Saccharomyces cerevisiae S288C: one gene and its partners. The protein of the gene in region 3 interacts with the protein of the main gene of each other region in a biochemical or structural test. Each region holds a gene or a part of one and is shown on either strand. Other genes may lie near its edges. The genes, in order: DBF2, UBI4, VPS27 and CHC1.

What was found.
Region 1: of the proteins of VPS27 (region 3) and DBF2, one has a biochemical effect on the other in vitro, tested with the Saccharomyces cerevisiae proteins (2 studies listed by BioGRID).
Region 2: the proteins of VPS27 (region 3) and UBI4 form a complex in vitro, tested with the Saccharomyces cerevisiae proteins (8 studies listed by BioGRID, with this or other methods).
Region 4: the proteins of VPS27 (region 3) and CHC1 form a complex in vitro, tested with the Saccharomyces cerevisiae proteins (one study listed by BioGRID).

What each region holds. Positions count from the first base shown.
Region 1 is NC_001139.9:664,843-672,307, forward strand, and holds DBF2 (serine/threonine-protein kinase DBF2), read left to right. Parts: upstream 1-3,346; coding exon 3,347-5,065; downstream 5,066-7,465. Other genes in the region: rRNA-processing protein UTP22, read left to right, coding at 1-1,229; U4/U6-U5 snRNP complex subunit PRP31, read left to right, coding at 1,499-2,983; DRN1 (Drn1p), read left to right, coding at 5,546-7,069; VAS1 (valine--tRNA ligase), read left to right, coding at 7,344-7,465. UniProt on the Saccharomyces cerevisiae protein: Ser/Thr-protein kinase involved in the mitotic exit network (MEN) and required after the metaphase to anaphase cell cycle transition. Phosphorylates CHS2 to regulate its dynamics and chitin synthesis at the division site during cytokinesis.
Region 2 is NC_001144.5:61,627-68,350, forward strand, and holds UBI4 (ubiquitin), read right to left. Parts: upstream 3,582-6,724; coding exon 2,436-3,581; downstream 1-2,435. Other genes in the region: membrane morphogenesis protein VPS13, read right to left, coding at 1-2,019; ENT4 (Ent4p), read right to left, coding at 4,149-4,892; E3 ubiquitin-protein ligase PRP19, read right to left, coding at 5,119-6,630. UniProt on the Saccharomyces cerevisiae protein: Ubiquitin exists either covalently attached to another protein, or free (unanchored).
Region 3 is NC_001146.8:631,636-639,354, reverse strand, and holds VPS27 (ESCRT-0 subunit protein VPS27), read right to left. Parts: upstream 2,370-7,719; coding exon 501-2,369; downstream 1-500. Other genes in the region: ATG3 (Atg3p), read left to right, coding at 1-173; SWM2 (Swm2p), read right to left, coding at 2,972-3,412; RPC34 (DNA-directed RNA polymerase III subunit C34), read left to right, coding at 4,058-5,011; putative ammonium permease ATO2, read left to right, coding at 5,499-6,347. UniProt on the Saccharomyces cerevisiae protein: Component of the ESCRT-0 complex which is the sorting receptor for ubiquitinated cargo proteins at the multivesicular body (MVB) and recruits ESCRT-I to the MVB outer membrane.
Region 4 is NC_001139.9:99,866-110,434, forward strand, and holds CHC1 (clathrin heavy chain), read right to left. Parts: upstream 7,640-10,569; coding exon 2,678-7,639; downstream 1-2,677. Other genes in the region: chromatin-remodeling protein SPT16, read left to right, coding at 1-2,211; POX1 (acyl-CoA oxidase), read left to right, coding at 8,293-10,539. UniProt on the Saccharomyces cerevisiae protein: Clathrin is the major protein of the polyhedral coat of coated pits and vesicles. In yeast, it is involved in the retention of proteins in an intracellular membrane compartment, presumably the trans-Golgi.

The DNA of each region.
Region 1 (7,465 bases), on a different chromosome or scaffold from region 3:
AATCCATCCCATACAATTTAGAAATTGTAACCTTGAACATCTTGACACCTGAAGGTTATGGATTCAAATTCAGAGTTCTAACTGAACGTGACGAAATCCTTTATTTAAGAGCTATAGCGAATGCTAGGAATGAGTTGAAACCAGAATTGGAGGCCACATTCCTAAAATTTACTGCAAAATATCTGGCTTCCGTAAGACATACTCGTACTTTGGAGAATATATCTCATTCGTATCAATTCTACTCCCCTGTGGTAAGACTATTCAAAAGATGGTTGGACACTCATTTATTACTAGGTCATATAACGGACGAATTAGCAGAGTTGATTGCCATTAAACCTTTTGTTGATCCTGCACCATATTTCATTCCAGGTTCTCTTGAAAACGGTTTCCTCAAAGTGCTTAAGTTTATAAGTCAATGGAACTGGAAAGATGATCCATTGATTTTAGATCTAGTAAAACCAGAAGATGATATAAGAGATACATTTGAAACAAGTATTGGAGCTGGCTCAGAGCTAGACTCCAAAACGATGAAAAAGCTTTCTGAAAGATTAACCCTAGCACAATATAAGGGCATTCAAATGAACTTCACGAACTTGAGGAACAGTGATCCCAACGGTACACATTTGCAATTTTTTGTTGCCTCTAAGAACGATCCAAGCGGTATTCTTTATTCATCAGGTATCCCACTACCCATTGCTACAAGGCTTACAGCATTAGCTAAAGTAGCCGTGAATCTTTTACAGACACACGGTTTAAACCAGCAAACTATCAATCTTTTATTCACGCCTGGATTAAAAGATTACGATTTTGTCGTTGATTTGAGGACACCAATAGGTTTGAAATCATCCTGTGGTATACTTTCAGCCACAGAGTTCAAGAATATAACTAACGATCAAGCCCCATCGAACTTTCCAGAGAATTTGAATGATTTAAGTGAAAAAATGGATCCAACATACCAGTTAGTGAAGTATTTGAACTTGAAGTACAAGAATAGTTTGATTTTATCAAGCCGCAAGTATATAGGTGTGAATGGTGGAGAGAAAGGAGATAAAAATGTCATCACAGGGCTAATAAAGCCACTCTTCAAGGGAGCCCACAAATTTAGAGTAAACTTGGATTGCAACGTTAAACCAGTGGATGATGAGAATGTGATTTTAAATAAAGAAGCCATATTTCATGAGATTGCTGCATTCGGGAATGACATGGTTATAAATTTTGAGACAGATTAGAATAAACAACAAAATCATAACTTTTAGAAGTATCTGTATAATATTAAATAATTAAAGCAGCCGGCAGTTTACATAAAGAATATTTTTCTTTAATTCTTTTTTTTAGATGTGGTCCTTTCGGCGATTTGGCACAAGTTAACTTAGTATTTTTAAAAGTTTTGAATAGTACTGCTGTGGCGACGCTCAGAATAAAGCTAGGTAAACGATTTGAACGCCTCAACTAGCACTATTTGATAGCATTTTGGCTGCAGAAAATATACAAAGACCTTATGAGCTCTGAAGAGGACTATTTCGATGAGCTCGAATATGACCTTGCCGATGAAGTTAATGAGGAAAAAGAAGACATACAAACTAAAAAGCTCACTACGGTAAATTGTCAAACAGAAAAATTCAATCCATTCGAAATTCTTCCGGAAAGTATAGAATTATTCAGGACGTTGGCACTCATCAGTCCTGATAGGTTATCTCTATCAGAGACAGCACAGATTTTACCAAAAATTGTCGATTTAAAAAGAATCCTTCAACAACAAGAAATAGATTTCATTAAACTGTTACCGTTTTTTAACGAAATCATCCCCCTCATCAAGAGCAATATAAAATTAATGCACAATTTTCTAATCTCACTGTACAGTAGACGTTTTCCAGAACTATCTTCATTGATACCATCACCATTACAATACTCAAAAGTGATAAGCATACTGGAAAATGAAAATTATTCAAAAAACGAAAGTGATGAACTATTTTTCCACTTGGAAAATAAAGCAAAATTGACCAGAGAGCAGATCCTCGTTTTAACAATGTCCATGAAGACGTCTTTCAAAAACAAAGAGCCATTGGACATCAAAACGAGGACGCAAATTTTAGAAGCAAATAGCATATTGGAAAATTTATGGAAACTACAAGAAGATATAGGTCAATACATAGCCTCAAAGATATCAATAATTGCCCCTAACGTGTGTTTCTTGGTAGGCCCGGAGATAGCAGCCCAATTAATAGCACATGCTGGAGGGGTTTTGGAGTTCAGTCGCATTCCCAGTTGCAACATTGCGTCCATTGGGAAGAATAAGCACCTCTCACATGAGTTACATACATTAGAGAGTGGAGTACGACAAGAAGGATATCTATTTGCTTCTGACATGATTCAGAAATTTCCCGTTTCTGTCCATAAACAAATGCTTAGGATGCTTTGTGCAAAAGTATCACTAGCCGCAAGAGTTGATGCTGGCCAGAAAAACGGTGATAGAAATACAGTTTTAGCTCATAAATGGAAAGCCGAACTATCGAAGAAAGCTAGAAAGCTATCAGAAGCCCCGAGCATTTCTGAAACGAAGGCTCTACCTATTCCGGAGGACCAACCCAAAAAGAAAAGAGCTGGGAGAAAATTTAGGAAGTACAAGGAAAAATTCAGACTATCGCATGTCAGACAATTACAAAATAGGATGGAATTTGGCAAGCAAGAACAAACTGTTCTTGATTCCTATGGTGAAGAAGTTGGTTTGGGTATGTCTAATACTTCTTTACAACAAGCAGTAGGAGCTACATCAGGTTCCAGAAGATCTGCTGGTAATCAAGCCAAGCTAACAAAGGTAATGAAGCACAGGATTTCTGAGGCTAATCAGCAAGCTGACGAATTCCTAATCTCCTTGGGTCATAATACAGAGCAACCGAATCTGTCGCCAGAGATGGTTCAAATGCACAAGAAACAGCATACTAACCCAGAAGAAGAGACCAATTGGTTTTCCGGTCATGGTTAGGGCTCTTCTACATACTTGATAATATTTAAAAAGATATTATATAGTAGTGACCGGCGAGAGCGTTTTCGCTCATAAATTTCGTAAAAAGCCAAACACCACACGCTGCAACCCAGATGCCCTTTTTAGGAAATGTAATTATTCAAAAAGTAAACAATGACATGTTTCATTCCTCAATCTAAATCATTCGAAGCTACCTTGATGTTGAAGCCCTCCGCTTGTTGTTTATTTAAAAATAAATACAAGGAGGCAATTCGTCCAAGTAAATTATTGTAAGATAGAAACCTTGCTAAAGATAGAAACTAATATACCAGAAAAATTCAAGCAACATCTACAGTATTCCTTGCTAAAGAAAAATTCTTTAATATGCTATCAAAATCAGAAAAAAATGTCGACCTCTTGGCAGGCAATATGAGCAATTTGAGTTTCGATGGGCATGGGACTCCTGGGGGCACTGGACTATTTCCTAACCAAAATATAACAAAGAGGAGGACAAGGCCTGCGGGTATCAATGATTCACCTTCGCCGGTAAAACCATCCTTTTTTCCTTACGAAGATACTTCCAACATGGACATAGACGAAGTATCTCAACCTGATATGGATGTCTCGAACTCTCCCAAGAAGCTTCCACCAAAGTTTTACGAAAGAGCAACTTCAAATAAAACACAGAGAGTTGTTAGTGTTTGCAAAATGTACTTTCTAGAACATTACTGTGATATGTTTGACTATGTAATTAGTAGAAGACAACGCACGAAGCAAGTTCTAGAATACCTGCAACAGCAAAGCCAACTTCCGAATTCTGACCAGATTAAACTCAACGAAGAGTGGTCCTCTTACTTACAAAGGGAACATCAGGTTTTGAGAAAAAGAAGGTTGAAACCAAAAAATAGGGATTTTGAAATGATCACACAAGTAGGTCAAGGTGGTTATGGGCAAGTTTATTTAGCCAGAAAGAAAGACACAAAAGAGGTGTGTGCTTTGAAAATTTTGAACAAAAAACTATTGTTTAAGCTCAACGAGACAAAACACGTTTTAACTGAAAGAGATATCCTAACCACGACAAGGTCTGAATGGTTAGTAAAACTTCTGTATGCATTCCAAGACCTACAAAGTTTATACCTGGCTATGGAATTTGTACCAGGCGGTGATTTTCGTACATTATTAATAAATACTAGATGCTTGAAAAGTGGCCATGCGAGATTTTACATCAGTGAAATGTTTTGCGCTGTTAATGCGTTACATGATTTAGGCTATACACATAGAGATTTAAAGCCGGAAAACTTCTTAATCGATGCCAAGGGACATATAAAATTAACAGATTTTGGTTTGGCTGCTGGTACGATTTCTAATGAAAGAATTGAAAGTATGAAGATAAGGTTAGAAAAAATCAAGGACCTGGAATTTCCAGCGTTTACAGAGAAATCTATAGAAGATAGAAGAAAAATGTACAACCAGTTGAGGGAGAAGGAAATTAATTATGCGAACTCCATGGTTGGGTCTCCGGATTATATGGCTTTGGAGGTTTTAGAAGGAAAGAAATATGACTTTACTGTGGATTACTGGTCGTTGGGTTGTATGCTGTTCGAAAGTTTAGTTGGTTATACACCATTTAGTGGATCATCGACTAATGAGACCTATGACAACTTAAGGCGCTGGAAACAAACTTTAAGAAGACCGAGACAATCTGATGGGAGGGCAGCATTCTCCGATAGAACTTGGGATTTAATAACAAGATTGATTGCCGATCCAATCAATCGATTAAGATCCTTCGAACATGTTAAACGCATGTCTTATTTTGCAGATATAAACTTTAGTACTTTGAGGTCAATGATCCCGCCTTTTACACCCCAACTAGACAGCGAAACTGATGCCGGTTATTTTGATGACTTCACCAGTGAGGCTGACATGGCCAAATATGCTGATGTTTTCAAAAGACAAGACAAATTAACGGCTATGGTAGATGACTCGGCAGTATCATCAAAACTTGTTGGGTTCACTTTCCGACATAGAAATGGTAAACAGGGTTCCAGTGGCATCTTATTCAACGGACTGGAACACTCAGACCCCTTTTCAACCTTTTACTAGCGTAAAAATGAATTCTTGTCTTGCATTCGCCGCGATATAATTAGCTTTAACGAGCTTCATGCAAACTTTTCAACTAGCACCTATGAACGCTTTTTTCATAAATATACATATATATATATATAGTTGTGCATTACTTAGGACTTCAAGCCCATTGTTTAAAATCTCAGTTCACGGTAACGGTCCATCCCATGACCGTTTTGAACTAAACTTAAGCATTCATGTTGGGAGCGGCGAAACTTGGTAATGTTTTACAGGAAAACAGCAATGACCACTATTAATCGAAAATCTGCAAAAAATGAAAAGGAATGGGTGTTAACATCAATTGTTTTTTCAATGATAATTACAAATTGGACTGATACTACATTGCTAGATGTACAAAAAACGCAAGGTAGCTCTCTTAGAAGGATCCATAATATATAAAAAAGGGCTTATGGTTTACTGATATCTTTTTCACTTCAAAAACTTACATATAAAAATAGGATGACAAATGCAAAGATTTTAGTAGCTCATATAAGTGAAAGCGATGCCGATGAGGCTATCAGAAAGATCAAGAAAGTGAATGAAAAATCAGGGCCCTTTGATCTAATAATTATATTCAGTAACTCGTATGATGAAAATTTTGAGCTGAATACTGATGGGTTACCTCAACTAATACTACTATCGTGTGATAAGGCTAACAATTCGAAATCCAAAAAGATAAATGAAAATGTAACATTGCTGCATAATATGGGTACTTATAAATTAGCAAATGGAATCACTCTTTCATATTTTATTTATCCGGATGATACTCTTCAAGGGGAGAAAAAAAGCATACTGGACGAATTTGGCAAAAGTGAGGATCAGGTAGACATTCTCCTTACAAAAGAATGGGGCCTTTCGATCTCTGAGAGATGTGGAAGGTTGTCTGGAAGTGAAGTTGTTGATGAATTGGCGAAAAAGTTACAAGCAAGGTACCATTTTGCCTTTTCAGATGAAATAAACTTTTACGAATTAGAGCCTTTCCAGTGGGAAAGAGAGCGCTTATCGAGGTTCCTCAATATTCCAAAATATGGATCTGGAAAGAAATGGGCCTATGCATTCAATATGCCAATAGGGGACAACGAACTAAAGGATGAACCTGAACCGCCCAACTTGATAGCTAACCCGTATAATAGCGTGGTTACAAACAGCAATAAAAGGCCACTAGAAACAGAAACAGAGAATTCGTTCGATGGAGACAAACAGGTACTTGCTAATAGAGAAAAGAATGAAAATAAAAAAATTCGAACGATTTTGCCGTCAAGTTGTCATTTCTGCTTTTCAAATCCAAACCTCGAGGATCATATGATAATATCAATCGGCAAACTAGTGTATTTAACCACAGCGAAGGGACCTTTAAGTGTTCCTAAGGGTGATATGGATATCTCAGGCCATTGCCTCATTATTCCCATTGAACATATTCCGAAATTAGATCCAAGCAAGAACGCAGAGTTGACACAGAGTATTTTGGCTTATGAAGCTAGTCTTGTGAAGATGAACTACATAAAATTTGATATGTGCACGATTGTCTTCGAAATACAGTCTGAACGTTCTATTCATTTCCACAAACAAGTTATTCCCGTTCCAAAATACCTCGTTCTAAAGTTCTGCAGTGCCTTAGATAGACAGGTTCATTTCAATAACGAAAAATTCACAAGAAATGCTAAGCTAGAGTTCCAATGTTACGATTCACACTCTTCCAAACAATATGTGGATGTAATTAACAACCAATCCAATAATTATTTACAATTTACCGTCTACGAGACTCCTGAAGCGGACCCAAAGATATATTTGGCCACATTTAATGCCAGTGAGACAATAGATCTGCAGTTTGGACGACGTGTACTAGCCTTTTTACTTAACTTGCCACGCAGGGTGAAATGGAATTCTTCAACCTGTTTACAAACTAAGCAACAAGAGACTATAGAGGCTGAAAAGTTTCAAAAGGCCTACAGGACCTATGACATTTCTCTCACAGAAAACTAAACTAAAACTATTTCATTTAGAATTTCAAATATATCCAAATATATGTATATATATGTAGAATACTAAGTCATGCTACCTCTGAACGTTTAAGAGACCTAGCAACTCAGAGGTGATGAATTAAAAGAAAAACCGGGTAAAGTTCTTCGAGAGACCGCGCTGAAAAAATTTTTTTAGAAGAGTCACCCATACAGCCTACTGGTGTTCTCTGTGTGTGCTACCACTGGCTGTCATCGTTGTTGTATGTCCTTCAGATTTATGGAATTACTTAGATGGTATGAATAAGTGGTTAAACACATTATCTAAGACATTCACTTTTCGGCTTTTGAACTGTCATTATAGGCGATCATTACCACTTTGTCAAAACTTTTCTCTGAAGAAGTCGTTAACTCATAATCA
Region 2 (6,724 bases), on a different chromosome or scaffold from region 3:
TTGTGTTGTCCAACCTTCTACAGTTGCCTCGGCGGCGTTTACGATATTGCCGATTGTTTCCATGTGTTGGTTTGACGCCTTAAAAAACTTGTGGACCTCTGTAATGAAATGAACGTGGTAAAACACAGTCATTCCCAATAACTTAATGTTTAAGTTCGAATCTGCTAATCCATCTAGTGGATTCAATTCAAATGAAGCACGTAATAAAGGTTCATCCTCTTCTTCTTCCTCCCCGGTAGCGTGGTTGTCAATTGAAGATTGATCTTTAGATGAGTTTCTGACACTAATGATATGTTTATATAACGCGTTGGGTGAGCCATCTTCGAGACTGAATTTGTTCAATTGGAAACTCGATAAAAATGAATCAGGTCTTTGAGCAAAATCAACTTTACAATTTTCAAAAATTATGGAACCCAAATTTAGATTTTGCTTCTTCTTTCGTATAGTGAATGAACCCTTTTTTAACAAACTCGTTACACGAAGTTCAACCCTTTCTCTAGGAACTTGCAGTACAGGACCTTTATCTTCATTCTCGTCAAATTCAATAGCATCATAAAGCTCCTGACGCTGTTCTTCAGTCATTATTAAATCTTCGTCTACTTCTTCTGTAGGTTTACCGTTCCACCAAGAAGAGAGCCAGCTTCCATTATTTTTAGTTGCGGACTTGTTGGAAGTTTGTGGTTCAATATTTGAGCTAGCTGTTGGTGTGGGTGAGTCTTCCGTCATGCCCAACTTATATTGCGCGTACTGTCTCTTAGCGACAGATCTGAAGAGAATAATTTCATCATACGTTAAATCTTTATGCAATTCAGATAATTGAGCCTCCTGAATGGGGTCACGTAGCGGAGCTTCTAAATTTTTTAACTTTAACTTTTCAACCCATAATTTTGTGTACAACCTCCGTTGTTCACATTTCTCCTTCATGCTTTCCCAAGTCCACATTTTGTTTTTTTCATGAATTTCATTAATAACACAAGCAGCAATGTATTTAAACCATTCTGTCGGGTTTTCACTAACTGCGAAGGATGGTCTTGCTTTCTTAAACTTTTTGGTAATTTGTCTTAACTGTATACTGGAGAGGACATGCAAGATATCATTATATTCTGTATCATCTAATTCTAAACCAAATTCATCATAAAACATTTGCAAGTCAATGTGAGGTTGTTCCTCCGTGGAACCCAGCTTGTTGATACTAAGCTTCCCTAGCCCGCTAACCGGTTTCAAAATGTATTGATGCTTGGGGGCAGTGGAATTTTTCGATGCAATCATATCTTTGAAACCCCTTACAAAATTTTCCAGGCTTCTATCTTGATCATCATCAGAAATCAAGGGCGGAGAGTCTGTATTCCAATACAAACAGAGTGAATTTAAAGTCAATAGTTTATGCGTGATATTCTGTGTAATATCAATGAAACTTGGAGCCCAGTTGGAATCTGTAGATACAGCTGATAGCTCGTTCAAAGTTAATCCAACGGAAGATGGGCCTGTAGTGAAGATTCCGTCCATGTCCTCGTACCTTAAATGGATATTTTTTATGGTAACTTGTAAATTGTCTATGATCTTTGTAGTCAAAGACTGCATAAACCCGGCGTTATTTTTTTCTGAAGAAGAAGAAGAGGTTTTGTTCTCTGATTGGGTACTCAGTATGCGAGCCTGATTTGTCAGTTCCCATTCACTTACCTTCCTCATCTTCAACCGAAAAGCTCTCTTTATCATCTCCTCATCATTTTCGTGATCTTCTGAACGTGGTGAGCATAATAAATAACAGTCCTCGATAATGATTTTCACGGGCTTATTCTTTAAACTTGACCATGGGACCGTTAAGACCAAATCACCCAGTATCCCTGATTTCACATCTATGGGTAAATTTAATGAGTCCAAACAGTCTTTTCTTAGTTTTAAGTTTTTTAACTTCACATCACCACTCCATATGCCGACATTTAATTGATTAGGGTCGAAATTTTCCACATATGAGCCTAGCAATCGGTTTAGCAAATTAGCAGCTAAAGACTCTAACATTTAACTGTTCTTAATTTTCCTTTTTTCTGCCTTTTCCCTTTTGGTAGTCACAATATTCTATCCGTATCAAATTAAATAGAGTTAAAAGGTTGACTCAATTGGTCGGCTTATGTGCGTTTACTGGAGATTGAAACATGATAGGACACTATAAAGGTGGTTTATATTCCCTAATAAAAATCCCTTTCTATCAAAATAGCTAATGGTATTACCCGGCTTCGCGAAAATAGTGAACGTCATAGTATAAGACGATTCAAAAATCCAAGCTCTTGAAAACCAACATGAATAAAGACAATAACACAGTTGAACAATTTATTTAGTGTTCTATGGAGTATTTATCAAAAAAAAAAAAAAACCAAAAAGAAAAAAGGAGAGTAAACATATATATATTGACATAATGAAAATATTGCGAGGACTGATCAGTTACCACCCCTCAACCTCAAGACAAGGTGAAGAGTGGACTCCTTTTGAATATTGTAGTCCGACAGCGTTCTACCATCTTCTAGTTGCTTACCGGCAAAAATCAATCTTTGCTGGTCTGGAGGAATACCTTCCTTGTCTTGAATTTTCGACTTAACGTTGTCAATAGTGTCAGAAGATTCAACCTCTAGGGTTATAGTCTTACCTGTCAGTGTCTTGACAAAAATTTGCATACCACCTCTCAGTCTCAACACCAAGTGAAGAGTAGATTCCTTTTGGATGTTGTAGTCAGACAAGGTTCTACCATCTTCTAGTTGCTTACCAGCAAAAATCAATCTCTGTTGATCCGGAGGGATACCTTCTTTATCTTGAATTTTACTTTTGACGTTGTCAATAGTGTCGGAAGATTCAACCTCTAGGGTTATAGTCTTCCCTGTTAGAGTTTTGACGAAAATTTGCATACCACCTCTCAATCTCAACACCAAATGCAACGTAGACTCTTTCTGAATGTTATAATCAGACAGCGTTCTACCGTCTTCCAGTTGCTTACCAGCAAAAATCAATCTTTGTTGATCTGGAGGAATACCTTCCTTGTCTTGAATTTTCGACTTAACGTTGTCGATAGTGTCAGAAGATTCAACCTCTAGGGTTATAGTCTTACCTGTCAGTGTCTTGACAAAAATTTGCATACCACCTCTCAGTCTCAACACCAAGTGAAGAGTAGATTCCTTTTGGATGTTGTAGTCAGACAAGGTTCTACCATCTTCTAGCTGCTTACCGGCAAAGATCAACCTCTGTTGATCCGGAGGGATACCTTCCTTGTCCTGGATTTTCGACTTAACGTTATCGATCGTGTCGGAGGATTCAACCTCTAAAGTGATGGTTTTACCGGTCAAAGTCTTAACAAAGATCTGCATACCACCTCTTAGCCTTAGCACAAGATGTAAGGTGGACTCCTTCTGAATGTTGTAATCAGACAGCGTTCTACCGTCTTCTAGCTGCTTACCGGCAAAGATCAATCTTTGTTGATCTGGAGGGATACCTTCCTTGTCTTGAATTTTCGACTTAACGTTGTCGATGGTATCGGAAGATTCAACTTCCAATGTTATGGTTTTACCGGTCAAAGTCTTGACGAAAATCTGCATAATCTATTAGTTAAAGTAAAGTGGGAGGGAGAGTTCGAGAGTTCTTGTCGTATTGTAGTAGATAGAAGATATACTTATCCTTATCCGTACAGTTCTTGCTCTTTCTGAAGTAGCACTTTCGGAAGAAGAAAGATAAGCAGGCGAATTCAAAGGTGGCAAAACCCGGAGCCTCTCTATATATACCCCCAAAAGGAGGAACCGCCCTCAAATGACACTGAATTCTAAAAACAACTGATAAGTGGCATCGCCCCTGAAAAAAGAAACGAAGTGGGGTAACCACCGTGTGTGGCCGGATGTACGGCTGTGTGATGCTCCACTGGGCGGCTATTTTTTTTTTTGGTACCGAAATTGGTTTATCCAGGATTATTCTAGAACGTTCTAGAAACAATACTGACCACAAAGACTTTTCGGAATAGAATATTGTCAAACAAGAACTTTTTCACTTTCTTTTCATAAAACGTCACTTTCATCACTTTTGCAGGATTTCCCACAGTTCGTTTAAAGGGACATTTCCTATCATGGGTTGCCCTGCGCGAATAAGATGATTGGTCAAGGAAGACTCTAAAATCATCTGAACGGGTTATTTGAAGACTTGGGTCTAAATGAGAGCTTGCTTATTCCACCCGCCACGCCGGGCGTATCTTCACTGTCTTCTTCGGCCAGGGGATCCAAAGAGAATCGGGCATATTCGTGCGTATTCCTTGTCCGTTGTCTCTGGAAATCTAAGCTAGTGCTGGTGGTGGGAGGCTTTGCTTTCTTTTCTAAGCTTTGTCGCGTGAGCTCGCTTCTCATTTCCTCCAGCTTCAAATGGCTATTGTCCGTGGACTTCCTGCCCGGAGTCGATATGCTTGAGCGGAATTGTATTACATCCTTGCGTTGTTTTTCTAGTAACCCGTCGTCTTGCAGCAGCCCCAGAACGTTCCTGCTTAGCTTTTGAATATCTTCCGCCTTACGTTCATCCCGAGGATCCTGAACCTGAAAATCCTCCAGGATCTCAATTAGTATCATGTTTCCTTTCAGCCACTTGATGAATTCATTGGACCCGTTATTCATCAGATATGAGACCAAAGTCAGCGTCTTCATCACCTGGATACAATTTCGATGAGAATTTCTTCTGTTCTGCCCAAGTAGCAATCGCTTCCGGATTACCTGGATGATTTCTCGTACTGTCTTGGGGCTGTAGGTCAAGATTGATATTTCGTTCATAAGCGTCCCCGTTGCTCCACTTGTTTCGTCCTCGTTGGTAGCCTGTTTCACCTTTGATTCCGTCGGTGATTGAATAAAACTCTTGAAGGTATCTAACAAAGGCATCACGACCCCCTCACTATATGTGTACTCGTTCTTTGACACCTTTATGCTTTCTAGGCTTATTCAACACATAACCTCAATTTTCGTTTTCTCATTCTTTTTTCTTTTTTTTTTTTTCTCACTAAAGCGTTGTCCTAGAGATGTAAAAAGAGAAGGAAATGAAATTTTTACTGGAAATGTTACTACTATTACACAGGTTTATTTAGAAAGTACAAACGTGTCAGCGTATTTAGGGTGTCAATGCAACAATATTGAAACTATCATTTGTCTTCAGAATAGCGGCAATACCACCATCTCCGCATACCACGTCCATATCAGTGAAATCGGCAGTGTCGCTTTGCAAACAGAGGGCGCTCTCCTCGTCTTTAGTCCAATTTTTTGTTTTCTTGTCAAATTTGTATATCGTCAGCGAATTGCTCTCGTTTGAGTATGCAATCATATTCTTTCCAGAGTCGTCAATGTCATAGGTAACGGTGCCCGTCTTGAATTCTGGGATTGTGTAAGTTGGATACGCTAGCGTGCCGACATCCTTTCTTAGGTCAAAGCAAACCACAGTTTGGTCACACTCTACTACCATCCAGTACCCATTGTCTGCAAATTTAACCTCTTTTATCTTGGCTTCTTCATCTACGGGGAATCTAGAGCTTGCCTGGTCAGGTGATGACAAGTTGTAAACGTCTAATATACCGTCCGGAGAGTAAAGGGCTAATAATAATGAATCCTTATGTAGGACACCGCTGCTGTACTCAACATCTGATTTAGCAGAATGAACAATATACTGGGAATCATCCTCGTAGGATTGAAATCCTATGGTTCCTCTATTATCCGCCCAGATGAAGTACTCTGTGTTGACCTCGTTGTGACCATACATATATATAATCTCATTGGCGGAATCTACCTCTATTTCTCTGAGGACTTTGTTTGTTTTTGAGTCCAATATAGTTATTTGGTTACCTGGATATAGTAGTAGCAAACGATTACAAGGCCCTCTGGAAATAATAGCTGGATGCTCTCCCCCGGTACGGGGATTTGGTGTAGTTATTGTGGTAATCGTTTTCGAATCTTTTAATTGGGTAAAATGTAAAGCACCATCCTCACAGCGACACATGCACACCCATTTATCATAGTACATAGATTTGTTAAGCTCTTTATATGGGAATGTTTTGATGTTACGGGAGTAATTTTGTGCCTGTAATAGCTCCAAATTTTTTAAAATCGGCCATTTGGGTGCTTTGAGCTTGCCCCTCGCTACAAAGTCTCTAGAAGATTGTAACAGCCCTTGTAAAAATTCTTCTCTCGTAATAGCTACCGCTTGCTGTGAGGATTTGGGTAAATCCTTCGAATCTTCGTTTTTTTCCATCAATAGTTGCGCAGCGACCAACTTTGCAGCATCTCTTTCGTACATTACAGTCGACAGTTTTTTCGTTAAACTATCTAGAGTTGATCGTAACTTAAAGTTTTCGAGCATTATAGCATCCCATTCATTCTGTAAACTTGTCAACAGATTCGGAATCGAATAATTCGCTTTTAACGTAGCAGAGTTTGTAGACTCTGTTAGTGAGGCTTGTTGCGCACTAGGTACGATTTCCACTATTTCTTCGATGCTTAAGGGCTCATTTGTTATCGGATCATTCCCCGTATCTTTAACATACTGTTCAAGGAGCGACTTTTCAAAAATAGTCCTGGATTTAGGTGATAGAACTGGCCTTCTAGGAACTTTCCCACTAATAGCACAAAGCATTGTTCCCTAGTTGGCTTTCTTGGCTATGTTTTGGTCTTTAATATTTCTTGGAAAGTTTGCATCTTTCTAAAATTGCCCTTACGAATTTTTCACC
Region 3 (7,719 bases):
GAAGGAAAGAGCTGCAGGAAGAACAAGAGCTGGACGGTGTCGGAGACTGGGAGGATTTACAAGACGATATTGATGATTCGTTACGGGTAGACCAATACTTGATTGTTTTCTTAAAGTTTATTACTAGTGTTACACCGAGTATACAACATGACTATACCATGGAAGGTTGGTAAAAATTTGTGTTTTTTCACTATTAGCTGCAAGCCAGGTGGTCAAAAAACAGGATAAACAAGAAGATAGGAATTAACTATAAATATGCAGGAACAAGTTTCTTCCTTAAAACCACTTTCTTAAAATGGTCCTTCCTTTGTCTATATTGATACTTTTTTTTTTGACGGTTTCAATGTTAATACTGACATAAATTATGAATATTCACCTTAAAAACTAGTTTAATGACAGAAATATGTATAAGTTGCGTAACAAGCAATTATATATATATGTATGTATATATTTATAAGCGCTAGGTTTCTTTTTACAAATACATAGAAAAGGCTACAATATTAAAGCTCTATTAGCAGTTCCTCTTGAGGACTAGGCGGCCTTTCCTCTTTGATCGGAATTTCAGAGGAACTTGCAGGAAGTGGTACAGTTGACTCCGGTTGGACGAATTTGCGTGCAGGAACAGTTGGAAAATCGTAACGTGTAATGCCTTGAGGCCGTTTATTTATTGAAGTTTCACCATTCTCTGTTTCTACTGGATACGGCCTTTCGCGGGATTCTTGTGTGGAGGATTCCTCATCTTGCACTGCCTGTGTTCCTTCATCTTCGGCCTCTTCTTTTGGATAAGGTGGGTCCGAAGGTGCAAGTTCAACGTGCGATTGAGGCTTTTGCTGTGCGTGTGGTGTCACATCGATGGTTTTCAAGTGATCAATATTAGTGGTAGGTGATGAATTTGCTTTTACCGATTGTTGGCGTGAGACATCCTGTTGTGGTTTGTATTGATGAGATGATAGTTGCTGGAGGGGAGGTGTTTGATAGCTTTCTGCTGGATTTTGCACATTTTCTGTTAGGTAATTGTACGGATCAGAAGGGACTTGTGGAAGTGTGTATTGCTGAGACAAATTGATGCTTTGTAGCTGTTGCTCCAATAATCTATCGTATATGTTCATAATTTCCGAAATCTTGCCGTTCATTTCTATCAAAGTATTGTATTTCTGAGCTTTATCATTTAAAGCATAATTCAACCTTGCTTTGGAAGCAAATACTCTTTGAGCCAAGTTTTGTAATTTAGAGTCTTCCAAAATTTCGTTCAAGGGCCTCGATTTCATTTTTTCGACAAGTGAAGCAAACATGTATATGCTGTCTTTCTCCTCATCAGATAAATCAACGGAATGGATAGGTTGAGGTTGAGGTGATGGCTGTTGGGGTTGCATCTGTCTAGAGGCTTTTTGACGCTCACTGCGTAGCTTCGCTTCTTCAGCTTCTCTCAAGCTTTCCTGAATAGCAGCTTTTAAATCAGGATCTTCTTCTTCTTCTATTTCTTGTCTCTTCACCTCATTCTTTGATTCTACAACGGGGACAATAGGCTCGCTACTAGCGCTATTTCTAGATTCTTTCAAGGAGAGTTCTATTGCTTTCCTTATCAGCTCTTCTTCATCCTCAGGAGTTGAGTAGTCCCTGTCCTTCTTTCTTTTATGGCGATGTTTTTTAGATTTTTTACTGTCGTCATGTCTCTTCAAATCGTAATCTTCAAAGCAGCTATCACATACTCTGACTGGCTCATATATACCCAAATCAGGTAAGGGTATACTATTTGATGAGTGTTCTTGGCAGAAAACTCCACCACAGGAACGACAGTGATGTTTCCTATTTAGTAGAGAAAACTTTTTGGAGCAAATCATACAAGCATCAGAATCAATCCAATCTGCGGGCGTCTTCGAGTCAAACATTGCAGTCGGAGAATTGGAAAGTGTTAGCTTTTCAGGGAATTTAATGCCACGAGAGATTAATTTATCATAAACTTTTGCCACATAGTTAAGTTGCGAATCATTTTTGAAGGCTACGTATAGTTCATATAATATGGTCTTTACCAGCTCAGAAAGTTCTTCGTTGCTATCTTCTCTTAAAATGACATGTTCCATGGTATCCATGAACTCTCTGGAACAAATTTCCTTAATAAAAGGCGTTCCACCATTTTTTACACATATATTGGTAAGCTTCCAGGAAGACAATTGGGTATTTGGATTATCGGCCGTATTGAGAATCCTTTTCTTTATACAACGCATAGAATCTTTGGGATTTACCCTTCTAGATCTTAACACATCTGAAATTTCCAACGCTATGGGGAGATCAAGGTCACCGTTGGGAATGCTCTCACTAGTGGCTTGTTCTATTAATGCGTCTAACTCACTTGGCGTGCTAACGGACATACTGTTCTTAGTTCTTTACTCACTACTCATTCACCTTAGCAAAAAAAAATCTTGATAATTTTACACCCTCTATTTTTAAATTCCCTCTGCTAATGATGATTATTTCAGGTATCATCGAAATTTTCAGAAAAGGAGGCCGAGCAAGATGATTCTGCTGCTCCGCAAGAAATAGCAGTAGCGTATGTATTACCAAAATCCAAAATCTTGTGAAGGTTACTTTATATAAGTGAGGCTCAAAGGACACCAGGCGTCTATAAATGTATACAAAGTAGCTGTTTTGACATATTACCAAAAAATCGGGAAAATACCTAGGTTGGTTAATGATGAACTCGAAAGAGCCTTAAGAAAAGTTGATTCAACAACATATGGTGTATGGTCGCTCCGAACAGTTTGCTTTTGTCTAGTACATAGTTACTGGTGAACTTTCCTGGATATGCGCGTGCTAACTAGAGCATTTTATGTTGATAATTAATTTAAATTGCATGATACAGATTACGAGACGAAAGATAGTCGATTATATATCTTTCAATCTTGGTTTAGTTTGGCAGCAAAAGCTAAAAGGTAGGCTCCGTGCATATTAGATGAGTGAACACACTTTAGGTTTATTCTTGTATGAAATCATTCACTTCGACCTCTTCCAAGATCAAATTCTCTAATGGATTACTTATGAGTTTACCAAATTCGTCAAATTCCAACCTGACTACATTCAAATTCTTAACATATGAGACATCAATCTCATCCTTAATGATATTATCAGCAGGCGGAGGATCCTTCAACTTTTTATATTCCTTGCCCTTCAAAACATACCACAGGTTAAGGCATCTTCTTATAATTTCCGGATTGACTGTCTTCGCACCTTCTTCGTTCCATTTATGGAAATTAGAACGACAAATTTTTAGAGCTCTAGACTTTAAATGTGCATTTCTTGCTATATTCTGAAAATATGGCTCCAATACTGCGGAGTATTCCTTCGGAATTCGATTCAAGTCCGTTAATCCGTCTAGTAAACCTTCTAAGTTAGAGTAATTGTATAAATCTATCATCCGAGGAGATCCTCTTCTCTTTGCTTATGCATTTAGTCTCCTTTGATTTCTCAAGTTTATAATTTTTTTCTTTTTTTCTCACTTTTTAATACCTTTTAATAGCCGCTATTTTTTTAATTTTAGTTAAGTTTTCTTCTAATTTTGAATATAAAAAGTCATCTTATAACTAGTACATTTTATATGAAGGAGTTTCTATAGGTTTTAAAGGTGTGCAAAAAAAAAAAACAGCGTTAAAAGGCTACGAGTAAAACCAGATTCTTGGAAGACTTTGCTTACATGTGAGCAATTGAGAAGAAAAGGCAGGGGGCATTAAACGTTACGGCTACGGTTCGTCCGCACTACTCACTACATCGCCTACCGTAGCATACCTACGCTCACCCATTGCCATACCCACAGTAAATATGTAAATCGTTTATTAAAATGTTTAAGCCCTTGTTTGGTAGTATATTTAGAATCCAACTAGATGATATTGCAATTATTTAATCTTTTTGTTTTTAAGTAACATCGCGCACAGGCACTTTTTTTTTCCTTCAAATCTTTTATTGTATTAAAAATTTTCAAGTTGATTTGCGATGTATTTGTGAGATGAGATCATTACAGAAAATCTTAATCAAGTGAAGAATTTACAGCGCCAATATCCTGAATATGAGTGGAATGATAGAAAATGGGTTACAGCTATCGGACAATGCTAAAACCTTACATAGCCAGATGATGTCGAAAGGAATAGGCGCATTATTTACACAGCAAGAACTCCAAAAACAAATGGGAATCGGGTCGTTAACAGACTTGATGTCCATTGTACAGGAATTGCTAGACAAGAACTTGATCAAATTAGTAAAACAAAACGACGAATTAAAATTTCAAGGTGTCTTAGAATCTGAGGCGCAAAAGAAAGCCACCATGTCGGCTGAAGAGGCACTGGTATATTCTTATATCGAGGCTAGCGGTAGAGAAGGGATATGGTCCAAGACTATCAAGGCAAGAACCAATCTCCATCAGCATGTAGTTCTTAAATGCTTGAAGAGTTTAGAATCCCAAAGATACGTGAAGAGTGTTAAGAGTGTAAAGTTTCCCACAAGGAAAATCTACATGTTGTACAGCTTACAACCCTCTGTGGACATCACAGGAGGTCCATGGTTCACAGATGGAGAGCTGGATATAGAATTTATCAATAGTTTATTGACTATTGTTTGGAGGTTCATATCAGAGAACACCTTCCCTAATGGCTTCAAGAATTTCGAAAATGGACCCAAAAAAAACGTCTTTTATGCTCCAAACGTAAAAAATTACTCTACCACACAAGAAATTTTGGAATTTATTACAGCGGCACAAGTGGCCAATGTCGAGTTAACCCCTTCAAATATCAGATCTTTGTGTGAAGTCTTAGTGTACGACGACAAGCTGGAAAAAGTCACGCATGACTGCTATAGAGTGACCTTAGAGAGCATTCTACAAATGAACCAAGGTGAGGGCGAGCCGGAGGCAGGTAATAAGGCTTTGGAGGATGAAGAAGAATTTTCCATCTTTAACTACTTCAAGATGTTTCCGGCTTCAAAACACGACAAGGAAGTGGTCTATTTCGATGAATGGACAATTTGAAGTTCTTGACTACCCCTATCTCACACTAGTACGTAATTCAATGTATCATTCGTATTGTAAGTAGATAGAGACGCAATACAGGAAAGCTGACCTTCCTTCCAATCACCACGGCTGAAATGCTTTGTTGACCAATTACGGACGCTTAAGAGCGGACGCGGCTGGAACGGCTCCATCCTAAATCGGCGGAGGGAGAACTCCGATACCAGCCGACATGGCAATAATAGTGACAGTAGATGCTACCAGCCCCGCAATAATTTCACAGTAGATCATCAACAGTCTCCTCATTTCTGGAAATGATCAGCAACTTCGACGGATTTAACTCTCAAGCAGTTACGCACTCCGAGAACAGCCGTGATCATCTTTGAACAAGCAAAATATATAAAGCAGGAGAACTGTCCTACCTAGAGCTAGAATAGCCATAACTAACTATGTAACATTCTACAGATCAATCAAAAACAATCTTCAATCACAGAAAAAAATAAAAGGCATGTCTGACAGAGAACAAAGCAGCGGCAACACCGCTTTTGAGAACCCTAAGGCACTCGATTCTTCCGAGGGTGAGTTCATCTCTGAAAACAACGATCAGAGCCGCCACTCGCAAGAGTCCATATGCAAAATATATACTGCGGGCAAAAACAACGAGTATATTTACATCGGCCGTCAAAAATTTTTAAGGGATGATTTGTTCGAGGCATTCGGTGGTACTCTGAATCCCGGTTTAGCCCCCGCGCCAGTCCATAAATTCGCAAATCCTGCTCCACTAGGACTTTCCGGTTTTGCCCTCACTACGTTTGTCCTATCCATGTTCAATGCAAGAGCCCAAGGCATCACTATCCCTAATGTTGTTGTTGGGTGTGCCATGTTTTACGGTGGCCTCGTTCAACTCATTGCTGGTATTTGGGAAATCGCTTTAGAGAACACTTTCGGTGGTACAGCCCTGTGTTCCTTCGGCGGTTTTTGGTTAAGCTTCGGTGCTATATACATCCCTTGGTTTGGAATTCTAGATGCCTATAAGGACAAGGAATCCGACCTTGGAAATGCGCTAGGGTTTTACCTCCTAGGATGGGCACTCTTCACCTTCGGTCTTTCCGTCTGCACCATGAAATCAACTATAATGTTTTTTGCCTTATTCTTCCTCTTAGCAGTGACCTTCTTACTTCTATCCATTGCAAACTTCACAGGCGAAGTTGGCGTCACTAGAGCTGGTGGGGTCCTTGGTGTGATAGTAGCCTTCATTGCCTGGTACAACGCTTACGCAGGTATTGCCACAAGACAAAACTCGTACATTATGGTCCATCCATTCGCATTACCTAGCAATGATAAGGTGTTCTTCTAAAAACACAAAAGTGCAGGCTAAAATAACTTTTACCCCTATTATATATTCTTATGATCCATTATTTATGAAAAGCCCAGCAAATGTCGAACAAATCGGCCTTTGTTTTATTTCACATAGAATCCTTTATAAAACAACACTGTTCTCATGCATTTCCGAACTATTGTTCTTGTTGTATAGGAGCACGGTTTACCCCTTTTGCTATTGACACATGTAATATCGCATAAAAAAGAAACCGCACTTCATAGTGCATAAGCAGTACAGAAATGATATCACATGTAAGTGATAGCGATTTGACTGTTTGCTACCGACAAGACTATCTGAAATAAGAAAAAAAACGACCCCAGTGAGGGTTGAACTCACGATCTTGCGATTAACAGTCGCACGCCTTAACCAACTTGGCCATGGAGTCACTTTAAATTCTGCAGAACGTGAAAGGTTCGATTTCCATGATCTACACGATTTTAATCATCTGTAAGCCTTGCCATGAAGCTAAATTGGTGAATTTTTAAGAATTGTTTTGTTGGAACGAGAGTAATTAATAGTGACATGAGTTGCTATGGTAACAATCTAATGCTTACATCGTATATTAATGTACACCTCGTATACGTTTAAGTGTGATTGCGCCTATTGCAGAAGGAATGTTAAACGAGAAGCTCAGACAATACTGAAGCTGTGTTAAAGACCTATTAGTTGAACATGTTATGGTAGGTACATATATGAGGAATATGAGTCGTCACATCAATGTTTAGTAACTACCGGAATCACTATTATATTGGTCATGATTAATATGACCAATCAGCGTGTGTTTTATATACATCTCTTATTTAGTATAAGAAGATCAGTACTTATTTCTTCATTAATACTAATTTTTAACCTCTAATTATCAACAGAGGAATATGAGGATTCCTAGATCCTCGAGGAGAACTTCTAGTATATTCTGTATACCTAATATTATAGCCTTTTTCAACAATGGAATCCCAACAATTATCTCAAAAATCACCTAAGCCTCACATGCATGTTTTACGTTGTGGTTGATGATCTATTGATGTTGAGGTACCATATTTTGAAATTCATTAAAACAACTTCTACCGGGCGTGTGGTCTAGAGGTATGATTCTCGCTTAGGGTGCGGGAGGTCCCGGGTTCGAGTCCCGGCTCGCCCCCATTGATTTATTTTTATCAAATTTTTTAATATTGCATATCTTTAGTGGGCAAAAAATTTTTCCCTGGGCAAAAATATAAGAGAGCTCATCTTATTGTTGTCAGCCCAATGATTCCCTTGTCAAATTGAATTTTCGGATTTACTTGTTCAGGTACCCGCGTTAAGGGGCTGCCGCGCCTGTCACTCTAAGAAAAAAGGAGCCATCAAAAAC
Region 4 (10,569 bases), on a different chromosome or scaffold from region 3:
AATATTACTAGGACCTTTTTGATCGATCCATCTGAAGAAATGGCCAACAACTACGATTTTCTATTAACTTTGCAAAAAGAAATTGTAACTAACATTCTGAAGCCCGGCCGTACACCAAAAGAAGTTTATGAATCAGTAATAGAATACATCGAAAAAACCAAACCTGAACTAGTGCCCAATTTCACCAAAAACATTGGTTCATTGATTGGTCTCGAATTTAGAGATTCTAACTTTATATTAAATGTTAAGAATGATTACCGTAAAATCCAACGCGGTGACTGCTTTAATATTTCGTTTGGTTTCAATAATCTGAAAGATTCTCAAAGTGCTAACAACTACGCTTTACAATTAGCTGATACGGTTCAAATTCCTCTCGATGAAACAGAGCCTCCACGCTTCTTAACAAATTACACCAAAGCCAAATCCCAGATATCATTTTATTTCAATAATGAAGAAGAAGACAATAATAAAAAGAAATCTTCACCTGCCACCAAAGTCCCTAGTAAACCAGACAGAAATTCCAAAATTTTAAGAACAAAGTTACGTGGCGAAGCCCGTGGTGGTGCCGAAGACGCTCAAAAGGAGCAAATTCGTAAAGAAAACCAAAAGAAGCTACACGAAAAATTGGAAAAGAATGGATTACTCAGATTTAGTGCTGCTGATGCCAATGGCCCAGATAGTGAACCTCGTCAATACTTCAAAAAATATGAATCTTATGTTCGGGATTCACAACTACCAACCAATATTCGTGATCTAAGAATTCATGTCGACTGGAAAAGCCAAACAATTATTCTACCCATTTACGGTAGGCCAGTCCCATTTCATATAAATTCATATAAGAATGGTTCTAAAAACGAAGAAGGCGAATATACGTATTTACGTTTGAACTTTAATTCACCGGGATCTTCTGGTGGTATTTCTAAAAAAGTGGAGGAATTGCCGTATGAGGAATCAGCAGACAATCAATTTGTACGTTCGATTACACTAAGATCCAAAGATGGTGACCGCATGAGTGAAACCTTTAAACAAATTGCAGATTTGAAAAAAGAAGCCACAAAGAGAGAGCAAGAACGTAAGGCGCTTGCTGATGTTGTTCAACAGGACAAATTGATTGAAAATAAAACTGGAAGAACGAAAAGACTGGATCAAATTTTTGTGAGGCCAAATCCAGATACAAAACGTGTACCTAGTACTGTCTTTATCCATGAAAATGGTATCAGATTTCAATCCCCACTAAGGACTGATAGCAGAATAGACATATTATTCTCAAACATTAAGAATCTAATTTTTCAATCTTGTAAAGGTGAATTAATTGTCGTCATTCATATTCATTTGAAGAATCCAATTTTAATGGGTAAAAAGAAAATACAAGACGTCCAATTCTATCGTGAAGCTTCTGATATGTCCGTCGATGAAACTGGAGGTGGAAGACGAGGTCAATCCAGATTCAGAAGATATGGTGATGAGGATGAGCTGGAACAAGAACAAGAAGAAAGAAGAAAACGAGCTGCGCTTGATAAAGAATTTAAGTATTTTGCAGACGCAATCGCAGAAGCATCAAACGGTTTATTGACGGTGGAGAATACATTTAGAGATTTGGGCTTCCAAGGTGTCCCAAATAGATCGGCAGTTTTCTGTATGCCAACTACAGATTGTTTAGTTCAATTGATTGAACCACCATTTTTGGTGATTAACCTAGAGGAAGTCGAAATCTGTATTTTAGAAAGAGTTCAATTTGGTTTGAAAAACTTCGACATGGTTTTTGTTTATAAAGATTTCAATAAACCCGTCACTCATATCAATACAGTTCCGATCGAATCTTTAGATTTCTTGAAGCAGTGGTTAACAGATATGGATATTCCTTACACTGTCTCAACAATCAATTTGAATTGGGCAACTATTATGAAGTCATTACAAGATGATCCATATCAGTTTTTCTTAGATGGTGGTTGGAATTTTCTGGCTACTGGTTCAGATGATGAAGCATCTGATGAAAGTGAAGAAGAAGTTAGTGAATATGAGGCTTCAGAAGACGACGTAAGTGATGAAAGCGCATTTTCTGAAGATGAAGAAGGATCAGAGGTGGATGACGATATTAGTGGTGATGAAAGTGAGGACTATACTGGCGACGAGAGTGAGGAAGGTGAAGACTGGGATGAATTAGAGAAAAAGGCTGCTAGGGCTGATAGGGGTGCAAACTTTAGAGATTAGACTTTATAACACTTACTGGGTTTCACCAGCAAGACCTTGATCTGACAGAAAATTACTCTTATGTATCTGAAAAATAATGATGGTATTTAGGCATAGTATTTATCAATGCTAAGAAATGTAAATGGACTGAATGTACACTCAATGCTAACGGTCAAGGTCATAGGACGTTTGCGTAATAAAAGAAACTCTACTAGAGTTGAACATAATTTGATATAAAAGTATATAAATTGAAAAGGCAGTTTCAATCATTTTAGTTTCTGCAATTTATTTATTCCTGTAATCTACAATTTTATAGTTGGGAAATTCTCTCGAAAATATTAAGAAAAATACAGAACTCATAAGGTCTTTTTTATTGGCATTTTGAAATCCCCTCAGATAATCAAAGATGCTAACAAACAAAATAATAACGGTAAAAAAAAAAAAAATACACGATGGGGTACAGCAAACGAATTATTTTATCCACGTCTTAAAATCCTGTGGGTTGAACGTTCATCGCGCTGTTCATCAGCATCAAAGGTTGGCCATCTTTGTGCTCTTCATTAGATCCGGACTTTTTAGCGAGTTCTTCGGTGATTTTCTTAATGGAATCATTCTGCTCTTTTTTTATGGAGATTTCAAATGGCTTAATGTAGTCCTCCAAAGAATTCATCCATGATATTTCTAAAACAAATTCAATTCTCACTAAGTTGTAAGCAGCATATAGCAAAGCAACAAAGCCTTCTCTGTTACCGGTTTCAACGAAATATGTGAGTAGAGCCTCCACTACCTTTGGATCCTGAGAGATTGCTGCCGTCTCAATAGCGTCCTTCCATAGCTTTTCTTCCTTCAAGATTGAAAGACTCTTTGCCCACTTCTTATTTCTACGGTATAACAGGGCTCCTATTTTCTTGAAAAAAATTAGCTTATGAGATTCCAAACGAGATGCCAATCCCAATTGGTCAAATTTGTCATAAGAATCAACAGCGTCTTGCAAAGCTTTATAATCTTCTTCTTCAATCATCAGATCGTGGTAGGCTTGGTTGACAACTGAGTTATTTTTTGGTAAGACATTGATCAAGAAAGGCTTGATTAAAGGCAAGTTGTCGGATTTCGAGAAAATTTTGACAGTTCTTGGAATATCTAATCTTGGTGTCAATGAGGTCAAAAGATCAACTAGTAATGATGGGTGAAATTTGACGTAGAAATTAATGGCCTTGTAATAGATTTCTAAGTTAGAAACTTTGACAACAACTTCTTTGAAATAGGCGTGATCCAAGTCTTTGGTTGATTTTTCGATTAGTGTTAAAGCAGCATTATCCCATTCATCATAGTGAGCATATAAAAAGACCAATTCCGACCAGAGGTGAGCTTGTTCGACAGCTCTAATAACCTTTGGAATATTTATTCTGGACCAGAATAGCTTCAAGTGTTCGAAGGTCTTGTCTGGTTCATATTTGGAATACAAAATGGCCAATTCAGTGAACATGCCCATATGAGCTCTTTCAAGTCCCAAACCAGCTTCAAACAATGAAATCAGTTCTTCGAAATAGCCGTTTGATTCATACCTTTCCACCAGTTCATCTAATTCTTCAGCGTGAACGATCAAGTTCAACCCACAAATTTGAGCCAGCTTGAATTCTTTCTTTTCAATACAAGCGTCGTTAACCAGTTTCCAAACTTTAATGTTTGAAGCCTTTCTAGCAGTGTCAACAGCAGCCTGATAATCTCCCAGGTAAACCAAGGTAGAAGCAAGCTTGGAGTAATTAGAAACAGCAGAATAACATAGCCTGGCCGCTTTATACTCTTTATTCTCGAATAATTTATCACCAACATGATCTAAGTTTGCAACATTGGAACCTGCCAACAAGTTCTCAATTTCATGAATCTTGTTTAGTTCAGCATAGGCCAAGATTAAAGCACCGTCGATCTTTGGTTCTTTCAAAGTCTTTCTAGCCATTAGTAAAAATGGAATTAATTCTTCGTATTTACCGGCTTGTTCGGCTATATCAATTACATTTTCGTAATTTGATGGGTCTTCTGCTTTAATATAAGACTCAATAGCATCTGGGATTCTTAATCCATCTAACTGAGCCGTACCAATTTGAGACCACAATTCGGGAGTATTGATTTTATCAGCATAAGAAGCAGCTCTATCTAAAGACATGATGTCTTCGATTAAAACCTTTAAAGCTTTACCGTACATTTCATGTTTGTCATAGATTTCAAAAGCTTCCTCCTTCAAATCATGTTCAATACATAATGGAGCAATTTCATCGGCGTCGTAGTTATCTAATTTTTCGATATAGCTTGAAACCTTAGTTGGTTCATACTTAATAGCAGACAATAATAGCAACCCTTGTAAAGCCACATTTTCGTTGAAAGGAGAAGGTTCCAATATGATTTTTTCTAGCAACTCAATTAGTTCCAGTTTTAATCCATTGGTCATGAATGCTTGAACAGTTAAGGAAACAGGTTCAGGATCAGTTAATTCAGGGATACCAACGGAGATGACCGAATCAATTAATTGTCTTCTGTGAATATTTTCTTGATTCAAAACTTTGTTCCATAAATCGAGATCAGAACGTTCCAACAAATATCTTGCCTGGTACTTGTACATGCTATTTTCATTAGTGATTCTAATCAAGTCATCATCATTTTGACCTTTTTCATACGCAATATATGCAAGGTAGGGATCTCTTTTTTCGCAGTAATGACCAACGTCTAAGGTGTCATATTGGTCGTTTTCCTTCAAAAACTTTTCAGGAGAATTATTGGAATCAATATAAATTTTTGCTAAGGCATTGTAAACAGCTTGATCCTGGATACCTTGACTTAAGCTTTGTTCTAGGAAAGGTAGCAATATTTTTAGTCTATTTCTCTTTTCAACCTCAGTAGTTAATTCATTAATAGGGACTTGACCTAAGACTGATTGTAGCAGACTTTGAATAAATGCCTCATCACAGTCCATATCAAGTAATGCGCCAACAACTTGGGCAGTCTTTGAAGGGTTAACCTGCTGCACGTAAGTTTCAATAAATTTTAAGTTCTGTGATTTGTACAAATATAAAATCATTTCATGAACAAAGTCGAAACGGTCACAAACTATGACTAGAGGCAACTGGTCTTCTAGATTGGCATCCTTCAAGAAATTCTTGACTCTTTCTGGATCATAGACATTGTTATCCTTCACAATTCTTTCAATTTCTCTGTATTGTTTCATTTTAGCAGCAGCTTCAATGTATTTGTAAACCACATCTTTATCTTCGGTTAGGTTGACTAAAGAGGCTAAGTAATAGTATAAACCTTCCGTAGCATTATAATCTTCGAATAATTTAATCAAAGTAGATGGACCGATCAAATCAGAGAATTTAGTTGCCACCTGTACTACGGTCTGGATGTTAGCCTGAATATTGTTATCCATTAAAGCTTTTAAGCACGCCAAAGATTGTTCAACGTTCAACTTACCAAAGTATCCGACTAACCAATCGATAGGTAATGCATTGGTGTGGACAACGCATCTCTTGATATCTTTGATGTCTGTGTAATTTTCTAAAGCTCTCTGGTATAGTCCCGCCTTTTCGGATAAGGAAGCAATAGTTGGTTTGTCATAATGAGAAAAGATGTTGTTTCCCAATATGGCGTCAGCAACTTGTGGTGCGTGTAGTAGATTGACTTCAAGAACACGAGTTTGCAAGTGACCTTGGTCTGGGGTATCTCCTTTTAACGCGTCTAGAAGTAGAGAGGTTCCTTGTTGGATATGGTTTTGGGAAAAGAATAGATCTGCGATTTTTTCTATGTCGATCTGAGAAGCAGTTTCCGGATTTTGTAATAGAGATACGGCAAATTCAGAAGCTCTGTCTGGTGATGATCTAATCAAAGAAGAAATCAGCACTAAAAAGTTAGGTTGATATCCAACCTTTTGGCAGTAAGGAATAATTTTTTCAAACTGTTGTAATTCGGCAAGACAAGATATAACTTTTGCATGGGCACCTGCTCTTAAGTAGCAAGCTAGCGCTAAAGTAGTATCGAAAGGCTTAACGATGTCACCTAGTTCTTCTGAACATTCTAGTTTATCTTCCTTTAACCATTTTTCGAACAATTGTTTTCTGTCTTGTTGTAGAACTGGTCTAGCCAATTCAATTGTTTCCTCTTTATTCAATTTCCCTTTATCCAATAGTGTTGAAAAGTAAAGTAGGATAGGAGAAATGGCGCCTGGTGGTGCTTGAATGTTTTTCAACCTGTTGATGGTGTTTTGGTTCCTTAAAGAAGTGGAAGAGGCTGCAACTTTAGCTGCATTTTGATAATCGTTTTGTAACAATAAAGATTCAAACTGTTTTTGAAATAAATCATCTGCACCTGGTAAGCCACCTCTTGTAGCAACGATTAAGGCCAGTGCCACATTAGATAATTTATTCAAGATATATGGAACGATTTGAGAAGTAGAAATCTCTACTGCTAAAACTTGACCTTTTTTATTGATGCATGCAATACCGTTCTCGTGATTGTACGGAGCTGCAGTAAAAACAGATTCTGCTGTAATTCTATTAACGAATAAATTGGTACCGGTTTCCAATTCGTACAAATGGATGAAGCCATACTTGGTTAATAGGTAAATTATGCCGTATTTCTCAGACACCTGAACAGCGATTGGGAAATCATTCGTTGCATCTGGTGGAAAGAAAATATCGGTAGTTTCCTTTTGATATTGAGAAGGCAATGAAGCATCGTGATCAATCTCGATAATTCTTAATTCTCCAGCACCGGTGGTGGCATTTCTGTTACCAGTAACGAAAACTTGTACCGGGGTCGAGCCATTACCCTCTAGTAATATATTCGTAAAGATAGCAACATGACCGTCGATAGCTTGGGAGATGTTACGTTGTTTTGAGAATAATTGAATTCTACCGGCAATACGGCCATTTTCTTGTAAGATACCAACAACTGCGAACCAGTCAAGGTTTTTGTTAGCCACAAAATTGATAATTTGGGTATTGTTCAAGTTAGCGTGTCTCAAGGTAAGCAATTGAGGCTTAGCATTTACGTTACCATCAAAGACGTTCGAGGTCAGTATGGATCTTGCGGTAACAAAACCCAAAGTGGTTTCACTCAACCACCTCCAAAAAATAACAGGTTCATCTAAAGTAAAAGACTTTAACTTGCTCTTAGTTTCCAAATTAAATATCTGCACGATAGTACCATTTGCTCTAACGGAAATAACCATCTGAGATGGATGCATGATAGCAGAATCACCGCCCATATTCTTCCTTGTCACTTCATTGCCTTTGGCCAAATCCACGATTGCAACAGAGTTTGTACCGTCCTTTGTTTCTCTAACAGTGACGAAGTGGTCACTCTCGAAAGTAGTTGATCTGAAGTCAAGGAATTGAGGGGAAATTCCTAAGGACATCAGATCGACCAATTCGGTAAATTCAATGGGTAGGTCACTCATTGGTTAGAACTTTCGTGATAATTTATTTTTATAGTTGAATATCTTCTTTCTCTCTCAACTCTGATCCGGATTGTCGAGGTTTCAATAAGTTACTCTGAACAACTAATCAAAATATCTCCTTATTTCTGTAGATTCCTTCAGTTCCACTTTTTACTTTTCTTAATTCTCTTTGTATTTATTCCTAGCGACGAAAAATGCGAGATCTCGACCAAAAAAAGGGGGTAGGGTAATAAAATTAACCCTATTATTTTTTAACTTTAAAACCTATAATGTGCTAATATTTTATTATAAACCTCCTTTTTTTGCGTTCAAACCCTGACACATTTTAAGCCCTATATTTACGGTATTAGTTGATTAAACTCCGAAGCGAAAGGAATTCGGTCATTAGCGGCTAATAGCCGTTGGGGTAAATCACCTACAAGCAAGTACACAAGAGAACGTTGGCGTTGTTAAGTCAAAGCACTAATACATTGGGGCTTTAAGAGTGTTTATAAAGGTCTAACCTGTAAAAATTATTTAAACAACTTGAACAGGCCTTAAAGTTTTCCTCATTCCGCTCATCATCACTAATATTGCTCTCCGTTTTTGAATACACACTTGACACTAATAAGTATCACAGAAAAAAAGAAAATATAATAAATTAGTATTGCGATATGACGAGACGTACTACTATTAATCCCGATTCGGTGGTTCTGAATCCTCAAAAATTTATCCAGAAAGAAAGGGCGGATTCGAAAATCAAAGTTGACCAAGTTAACACATTTTTAGAGTCATCCCCGGAGAGGAGAACTCTGACGCACGCCTTAATAGACCAAATAGTGAATGATCCTATATTGAAAACTGATACGGACTATTACGATGCTAAAAAAATGCAAGAGAGAGAAATTACTGCCAAAAAAATAGCTAGGCTTGCTAGTTATATGGAGCACGATATCAAAACAGTGCGCAAACACTTTCGCGACACTGACCTGATGAAAGAGTTGCAAGCAAATGATCCAGACAAAGCTTCGCCTTTAACAAACAAAGACCTTTTTATATTCGATAAGAGATTGTCACTTGTAGCAAATATTGATCCTCAATTGGGTACGCGCGTGGGTGTACACTTGGGGCTATTTGGTAATTGTATCAAGGGCAATGGTACTGATGAGCAAATCCGGTATTGGTTGCAGGAGAGAGGTGCCACTTTGATGAAAGGTATATATGGCTGTTTTGCAATGACTGAGTTAGGACATGGTTCCAATGTTGCCCAGCTGCAGACTAGGGCTGTGTACGATAAGCAAAATGATACTTTTGTAATTGATACACCTGATCTAACTGCCACCAAATGGTGGATTGGTGGGGCTGCCCATTCTGCCACGCACGCTGCCGTGTACGCCAGATTGATCGTTGAAGGTAAAGACTACGGTGTAAAAACATTCGTTGTTCCTCTGAGAGACCCTTCGACTTTCCAACTGTTAGCTGGTGTTTCCATAGGGGATATTGGAGCGAAGATGGGTCGTGACGGTATTGATAATGGCTGGATCCAGTTCAGAAACGTAGTTATCCCTAGAGAATTTATGCTAAGTAGATTTACCAAAGTTGTCCGTTCTCCAGATGGTTCAGTCACCGTCAAAACTGAGCCACAATTGGATCAAATTTCTGGTTATAGTGCATTGTTAAGTGGTAGAGTTAACATGGTCATGGATTCATTTAGGTTTGGCTCCAAATTTGCTACTATTGCTGTACGTTACGCGGTTGGTCGTCAGCAATTCGCACCTAGAAAGGGATTGTCTGAAACACAATTAATCGACTATCCCCTTCACCAATATCGTGTTTTACCACAATTGTGTGTTCCATATTTGGTGTCACCTGTAGCTTTTAAGTTAATGGACAACTATTATTCCACTTTGGACGAGTTATACAACGCTTCCTCATCTGCATACAAAGCTGCTCTGGTTACCGTGAGTAAAAAGTTGAAGAATTTATTTATTGATAGCGCCAGCTTGAAAGCCACCAATACTTGGTTAATTGCTACACTGATTGATGAGTTGAGACAGACTTGCGGAGGACATGGGTATTCACAGTATAACGGATTTGGTAAAGGCTATGACGACTGGGTGGTTCAGTGCACATGGGAGGGTGATAATAATGTTTTATCTTTAACTTCAGCAAAATCAATATTGAAAAAATTTATCGATTCAGCCACAAAGGGTAGATTTGACAACACACTGGATGTGGACTCATTCTCTTACTTAAAACCTCAGTACATAGGATCTGTGGTTTCTGGAGAAATAAAGAGTGGTTTAAAGGAGTTGGGTGATTATACTGAAATTTGGTCTATCACCTTAATCAAATTACTGGCACATATTGGTACTTTAGTTGAAAAATCAAGAAGTATTGATAGCGTTTCTAAGCTTTTAGTCTTAGTATCCAAATTTCATGCCTTGCGCTGCATGTTGAAAACCTATTACGACAAGTTAAACTCTCGTGATTCACATATTTCCGATGAAATTACAAAGGAATCTATGTGGAATGTTTATAAGTTATTTTCCTTGTATTTTATTGACAAGCATTCCGGAGAATTCCAACAATTCAAGATCTTCACTCCTGATCAGATCTCTAAAGTTGTGCAGCCACAACTATTGGCTCTTTTGCCAATTGTGAGGAAAGACTGTATAGGTCTGACAGACTCCTTTGAATTACCTGACGCGATGTTAAATTCTCCTATAGGTTACTTTGATGGCGATATCTATCACAATTACTTCAATGAAGTTTGCCGCAATAATCCAGTGGAGGCAGATGGGGCAGGGAAGCCTTCTTATCATGCGCTGTTGAGCAGCATGCTCGGTAGAGGTTTCGAATTTGACCAAAAGTTAGGTGGTGCAGCTAATGCGGAAATTTTATCGAAAATAAACAAGTGAGTAGAGGTTTCCTGTTTTCCTTCGAACCCT